Linked DNA regions of Oryzias latipes. The protein of the gene in region 1 interacts with the protein of each later gene in a biochemical or structural test. Links are inferred from orthologs where the notes say so. Each region holds a gene or a part of one and is shown on either strand. Other genes may lie near its edges.

Region 1 (3,549 bases):
CTTGTGGGAATTAGTGAAAGCTGATTTACTGTGGCAACCTCTGAAAGGATTTGCCTAAGGGTGAACAACAACAACTTTATTCAAATTGTTGTGAATCAGAAGCAGACAAAAAAATGCAGTTGGAAAACGGCATGTTGTCATGATGTAGGTGCTACAAATGGTAGGTCACAAGCCCCATTCTCCGCACCATTGGGATGTATCCACTTGCAGACAAATAGATCTATGACTATCTTCCTTTTCCTTCATGGCATCTGGCTCAAAACGGTTTGGCTGGATAGCTGCAAAATTGCTCACCATTTTTGCAGCACCAGTAATGTTAGATTGGGGGATGTTGCTGGGATGTAAGCTAACATGAGAAAGTGTAAACAGAAGGATGTCTGTTTAATTAGAGGCAAATTCTAAGGATCTACCATCGCTCTATGTCCTAGAAAATGACCGTTTTTTTTTTTTCATTTTGCCTAAAAACTCAATAATTGTAAATAAAAGACTACTTGGAAAGCTTTTACAATAGATCTAAAGAGGATTGGAGTGGGAATAATTTTTATTTCTGCATACATTTTATAACGGTTTAGAATTCAAAAAACTGCATACATTCCTAGCTAACTACATCCACACACCCAACACTGTCATGTTTGGCATATAATACTGATGACTCCCTTTAATGCCTTACAAATATTACTTATTTCCCAGTGGTGGAGGTCTTTTTAAGCTTAAAGTTATAACAAATGCACGAACTACAAAGATACTGGACAAATCTCATCCGGGAAAAATCTATCCAAATTTTGACAAATCATCAATTTAACTAATAAGAACCAATGGCGACATGTGTAAGAGAAAGACATCAGAAATGTGTTCTGAGATCCACTTGGTCAGTGGTACAGTAGATCCCGCATAGTATTGCTCTAATGAAAAATGGGTCTGGGTTCAGATCTAACATGTTTTGTAAGCATATGCTTTATTCAGGTTTATTAGAGAAAATCTTGACTGTGTGGTCACCACCATCCAGAGTGATGAGCATGTCATTTAGTAACACCAAACTAACAGGTCTGATAAGATGATTACCAACAATAGGAGTTAGAACTGGGCCATTTTCAAGCTTCCCTAAACTCCAAATAAACCCCTGATAAGGATCTGTCACTATTACAGCTCCATCTCTATCAAAGCTCAAAGCTGACATGTTCAGCTGTACTGTTGACTGCAGAGTCAGGCTGAAACTGTCCGTCTGGTAAATGAGGTGGAAGTCTTTTGTAAATACTCTCAGCCGTCTGTATGGGCGTCCCTCTGCGGGATGTGGGACGTCAGTTGGGTGCTCCATCACCGCCGTGTTTCCAGTCAGCCGACAACATGCCACCGCTCTGGGACACTGAAGATCTGAGATGGCTTTATGACACTCTACAATGACACGTTGACTGTAGTCCACTTTCATCCTGGTCAGTACTCCAGCCTGAGCGTCTGAGACTAGGAGGTGCCCAGAGATGTGTATGTCTACACCCCAGGGCAACTGGAAGGAGTCCTTGATTGTTATTAAATGATCCCCCCTGGAGGTGAAAACCTTGACAGCTCTGTCTCCTGGATCTGTCACTACAACGCAGCCAGCAGGAGTCACCGCCACATCCATTGGGAAACAGATTTCTCCCACGGCTTTTCCTCTTTTCCCAAAACTGTGCAGTTTCCTTCCCAGTGTGCTGAAAACCACCACCCTTTTCTCTCCATCGTGGACAATAACTAATGTCCCAGAAGACCCCAAAGCAGCAATTCCAGTGGGGTTGATCAGAGTCCCCCATCCCCCAAAAGAAGTTTGCAGCTGCAGAGCTGCGCGAGTCAGACTAGAGGTTCTGTGAGGACGATCGGGGGAAGAAGGCCTCCATGGCAATACAAGCTCTTGCAAGTCATTAAGAGCCTGGCATGGAGATGTGCTGTCAACACTGCACAGCTGTCGACAGAATGGGCACTCCAGCTTCCCTAGAAGAGGGTGGGACAAAGCCGTGATGCATTCCAGGCAGAGAACATGGCCACAGCAAAGGTTTTGCGGTCTTCTTCCTCTCTGCTCAGAATTAAATGGCTCAAAGCAGACTTTGCACTCCAGCAAGTTGATCCGGATCTCTCCGAGCGTCCTCTCTGGATTCAGGTAGCTACATCCTGGGAGACCAGGACTCTTGTCCATGGTGAATGATACGCTCCTATGGATTCTTTAATTATTTAGTTAGCTCACACAGACTGACAACCAAAAGCTCAGTGAGATGCATGGTGAGAGCACAGGGCCTCCATGGTACTGTGTAAACACGTGCCTCCTGCTTTGAGGCCTACTTGGTCACGTGGTATCTTAAATTCAACAAAGGTTCTCTGCTGCCCTCCACTGGAAATCAGTTTGCACATTTTAAAGTCATTTTGTGACCAATGTTCCTTCAAATCTTGAGGAAAATATTTAAAAAAATCAAAAGCACAGTGGAAAACAGCAAAACTGATTCACTTAATATCATAATTTACATAATAATCATGCTCAACTCCAGTTCCTCTCAGATACTACTTTTTTTGTTGCACAATAAAATGCTTTACTGGAGCTGAATTCAAAACAAGAAAATCTAACCATCCTGTGTAGGTCAACTTGAAACAGCTATTTCAGTCTGAGCTTCACAGTGTGCAGACTGAGGGAAATCTGAGCCCGGTTGGACAGTGCTCCAGTCAGCCAATCCAGAAGTTCTTTGCAGCACAATGCCCTTCTGGATTCCAGGAAGAACATTTCAAAGTTACTCTTGGTAAAAAAAAATAAAAGAATAGAGACTAAAGTCAAATAACATATGGTTTCAATCTAATTCCTGAGCCAGAAATTATACACAATTCACTTGAGGAAATGTAAAACTTTTTAATGGGCTGCCATAATTCACAGTTCACAACAGCGATAATCTTTTTCTGAATTTTTTTTTTTTTGGCTCCACAAACAATCCAACTCCACAAACAGTGTACCCTTTCCAATGCCTGCAGTCAAACACGAGCCCGGTTCTTCAGTCACTGACTGGATTGTCAAGAATCGTGAGGGCCGTGTCAGTTCAGAGATGATACTGATCGTTTTAAAGACCATCGACTTTCAACAAAGCACACACAAATGATAACACACACACACACACAAACAAATTTCTACGCAATAACAGGCACAAGGGGTGAAATAAAATAAAAAAACATGACGACAAAAGGCAAGCGATGTGCGGCTCTAGAACAAGTTTGGACCAAACCGTTTGATTGGAAGCAGTCGTGCAGTTGTATATTAAAAATGCCATTAACACACCAACAGGAAAAAAGTCGACGACACATGCAATAATGAGAATAATTGCCCTCTTTTGTCACTCCAGTAAAATGTACAAATAAAAATGATAGCAGCCACAAAAGGGAGGGGGGGGGCACGGGGAAGTCACTCAAAATCACAATGACCCACAAAAATACTGAACCATTACAAATCAATACAGTCTTACCGGAAACATTCTGCAAAGTGCTTCAACTGTGCTTTGCATCATTACATCATGTCTTAAAAAAAAAAAAAAAAAAAAACCTCCG
Region 2 (3,954 bases), on another chromosome or scaffold:
GGAGGGGCTTCTTCTTCTTTTTCTACTAGCGCATGTATGCCACCTACAGTTGAAAGAGGCTTGGTGCAAAATGTCAAAAGTGGTGGAAATGTTGAAAATCCAGGCTTTTTCCTTTCACAGCTCTATTCAAAAAACGCAATTATTCATTTCTCCTCCATGATTAATTATCAAACAGTTGGCATTTCAATAAATGAAAGGGTCTCTAATAAATCTGAGTCCCTGACTGGTCAAAGATCAACCTGCTTTAGCCTTCAACTTGCTTTTAATGGCTGCACGTTACATAAAATGATCATAAAAACTTGCATAGCTACACGTGAACGTGAGAGTTTTGAACGCACGTTTATGTGCATTGACATAGACTTTTAATTGGAATTAGTTGCTGGAACGGACGTTGCAGAGTGTGGTATGAACATACTGTAGCTTGAGGTGTTTGCAAAGGAGAACATAAACGGGGCATTGAGCTAAAAAAATGGCTTAGAACAGTTTTTCCCTCGTGCATTAAAATACCTAAAACTGCTGGATTAAAGGGAATACTTAATCGGATTAAATAAAATAGCATGCATCACATAAACTGTGGAAAATACAAATGGAAAAGAAAATTATTCAGAAAAAAAATTAAAACAAAATTACATCAAATTTAGAAAAAATAAAGTCTTATGTGGGATGCAGGGTCTTTTTTTCTTGTTAACTTTATTAGTTTTCCCATGTGTAATTCTGCTCAGCCGTATTACCTGTTGCACCTGTGGTTTCTGTTTGACACTAAGCTGCATCCTGTTTGCTACTTCTTATACTAAAGTTGACTTGCTCTTAGTCAAAATCTTGTTGTTTTTTTATTTTCTTAAGGCATTTTTTTTGTGGAGATTCTTGTTTATGTTCACAATAAATAAGTGATAGTTTGAGTCGGTCTGCCTTAGGTCGCCTATAAGTTCTACAGACCACCAACGCTGACATTTTAGTGTTTTATTTTTCCATTTGGTATGAAATAAATTTGATTTCCTGCATCAAGTCTTGTTTTTCGAGCAAAGCTGTGATTTATAGGAACCGAGGAGATCAATAACTGGCCCTTCAAAAAAATCCCTGTGTTTCATTTGAAGTTATTGATTTTTAAATCAGGGCCTTTTATTGTTCTAATGTTTGTTTCAGACAGGTCTGGAGAGCAAAGCAACTGTCTGTAATCTTAGGTTCACTGTGAGGTCTTAAGGTGGTATTGAGGCTGAAAAATGTTTGGTCATTGTTATGCTAAACTTCAAGTCTCAAAAATAAAAGTCTATTTTTAGTATAATTCTGTAATTATTGTGCCACAAATTAACTCAGTAATAGTCACAGTGTTGGATCCAAAATCAATCTTTAAAAGTTGAGAGTTACAGAAGTTTTTTTAAGTCCAAACAAACCTTAGGTCGAGGCTGTTATAAAACCCTGGCAGCTTCTAAAGACTTTTACTTTGAAAAACACCTCTATTGTGAGCGCGTTAATGCCGTCCCGCCTCAGGCCCTGAAGATCAGTCACTTAGTAACAGTTTCTACTTAAAAATGAAATGTTTCTCCTTATTCTCCTAATCTTTTGAAGGGTATTATGAACCACAGAAGGATAAAGTATTTTCCTTAAACTTCTTACATCCCCCTTCTCATCAGGAGGGTTGGATGCTGGTGGAACCTTCCACTGTATTTTATTTTATTTTTAATCATTGAAAAAACAAAGCTTTTCCTGCTTTTTAATGATTTGTAGGCAGAAATACATAATTTCTAAACCACTTTACCATCTTATATAAAATAAATAGAGTATTGCATTTTACAATGCATTCTCCTATTATTTTAACTTACCTGGAGAAATGCATGGCCATCTGACCGGCCACCCTGAAGTAAAAGTCTGTGGTGTGTTTCATCTCATTCGTGTGTCCTGTTTTCTCGATCCAGTGATCAATCGGATGGCAGTACACTCCATCCACCACGTTCCTGTCATCATAGGAGCAGCATCTGTCATGGCTGGGACCACTACCTGGACACAGACCACATATTTTCTGCAAGGTTTGTAAGCTAATTCCCTCTAACGAATGTTGTGGGACTTCTACATGTCAGTCATATCCATGATTGATTCCAAAACGTAATCCACAAGAAATCCTCTATTTGGAGCAACAAAGTCATGAATATCACCATAATCTGCTGCATTGTTGACATATTTTCACCCTCTAGCAAAGACAATTTTGTGACATTTAGAGGGGGAGACAAATTGTTTTTCATATCCTCAGGCAACAGAAAATGCAGCTTTGCAGGATGTTTTTGAGTTGAAGAAAACGAGGTCCCTAATTAACAAACGTTACTGTGTCGCCCTCTCGTGGTTGTAAAGGTACATTACACTAGTTGCATTAAATATGGCAAATTTTGAAAAGGTTTTTTTAACGTTGCTTTGGGAAAATCGAATGTGTTGTACCTTCCCAAACAAAACCGCCTCTGACCCTTTGAATAAACTTGAACCAGAACGGATCTTTGACGGGCTCTGCCAGCTCCACCTCTCCGGTCCACAGACAGGGCTCGTCAGGTGACGGGATCTGGAGCGAAGCCTTCATCTGTACCGCTCTACTCGGGTCCCAATGGCCCATTTCTTCACGCGAGCCCGAAACTAAAAGCTCCACGTGCGAAGACTGTGGAGAAAGAACGACTCCGAACCTGAACAGCATGGTGGGGGAGTTTATAAATAAATGTGACGTTGCAGTTCTAGTGGTTGTGATTTTATCTCATTTTGTTCTGCTGACTGTCTGCTGCGGGCTAAAAATAGCGGTGTTTTGGACTTCAGCGTCTGCAAAGACTGAATAAAAAGAAAGAAGGCTCACTCGGTCAACAAATTCTGAAACCAAAAGCTATTTGGATCATAAATGCTGTTGTAAACACTGCAGTACGTGTGAATATTCTGACTGTTTTATTAGACTGAATTTTAAATGAATAAGTACATTTTTAAAATCATGCTCTTCAAGCTCAAAACCATACACACTTAATAGAAACAAATTACACAAAAACGGAAATTTGGTTTAATAATTTAATTCAACACTCAATGTAACCACAAGGGGGCACAATCAGGTACATTTGCCACCACAAGTTGAGTAAATGTGGAAGGTTGCATCCATCCATCAATCCATCCATCCATCATCTTTGTTTATTTGAAAGTACCACAGGGTGTTATCTTGAGCATTCACAGCTTTGCCTTTAGAGCTGTTTCCCATCTTGAGCTTGGAACTTCTGTATAGCACAGTCTTATGGATTTGGGATGAAACCCTCCATGCATCACAACTTATCATGCCAGCAGGGAATCTGATGATTGATAGGACATAATTATTGACACCCAGCACTTTGTTTTCCCATCCTGCAGACGTCCCTAGGCTTGCTTTATTCTGTGTAGGTGTTTGACAGTTGCTGCTTCCCTTTTGGCCTCTTCATGGTTCCCATTTAGCTGTGGTAGTCCAAAGTGTTGCCTTCTGGCACTACAAGCCCTTAAATTCAGATACTCTTCCTGTTACAATCTAGGCATCCTTGTTCAGTCCTGATAACATAACGACACTCTACACATGTATGTGTCTTTATGCAAGACCAAACCGTTAAAAAGCCAGTGAAGTTGTTCATATTTAACATTTCATCCCAACAAGCGCTTTCAAGGAAGCCATTTATAACCCATTCCAATGAAAATCATGATTTTTGTCTTTTTAACTTGTTTATGTGACATTTTTCTGATTACGGAGGTCATATATATATTTTTTGAAAATTGCTCATGGAAAATGGCATTTCTGGGTATTTTAATGATTCAGATTGTTGTGGATCAGCAGATGAGAAAATGCAGTTTGAAAAAGAGCAAATTTGGGACGTAGAAAATATGCTGGGTGGGCCACAAGCTCTCTGCTCCAAGTTCTAAGCAACAGAGAGGGGAAGGGGGGCGGGGTTGCCTCATACCAACATTGCCATCTGCAAG

The links.
Region 2: the proteins of nhlrc1 (region 1) and epm2a form a complex in vitro, tested with the Homo sapiens proteins (3 studies listed by BioGRID, with this or other methods). The link is inferred for Oryzias latipes from reciprocal best matches to the Homo sapiens genes NHLRC1 and EPM2A.

Annotation. Positions count from the first base shown.
Region 1 is NC_019874.2:16,428,791-16,432,339, forward strand, and holds nhlrc1 (E3 ubiquitin-protein ligase NHLRC1), read right to left. Parts: upstream 2,357-3,549; 5' UTR 2,165-2,356; coding exon 956-2,164; 3' UTR 501-955; downstream 1-500. UniProt on the Homo sapiens protein: E3 ubiquitin-protein ligase. Together with the phosphatase EPM2A/laforin, appears to be involved in the clearance of toxic polyglucosan and protein aggregates via multiple pathways.
Region 2 is NC_019882.2:8,655,347-8,659,300, reverse strand, and holds the start of epm2a (laforin), read right to left. Parts: upstream 2,801-3,954; 5' UTR 2,675-2,800; coding exon 2,428-2,674; intron 2,025-2,427; exon of another isoform or gene 1,996-2,024; coding exon 1,821-1,995; intron 1-1,820. UniProt on the Homo sapiens protein: Plays an important role in preventing glycogen hyperphosphorylation and the formation of insoluble aggregates, via its activity as glycogen phosphatase, and by promoting the ubiquitination of proteins involved in glycogen metabolism via its interaction with the E3 ubiquitin ligase NHLRC1/malin.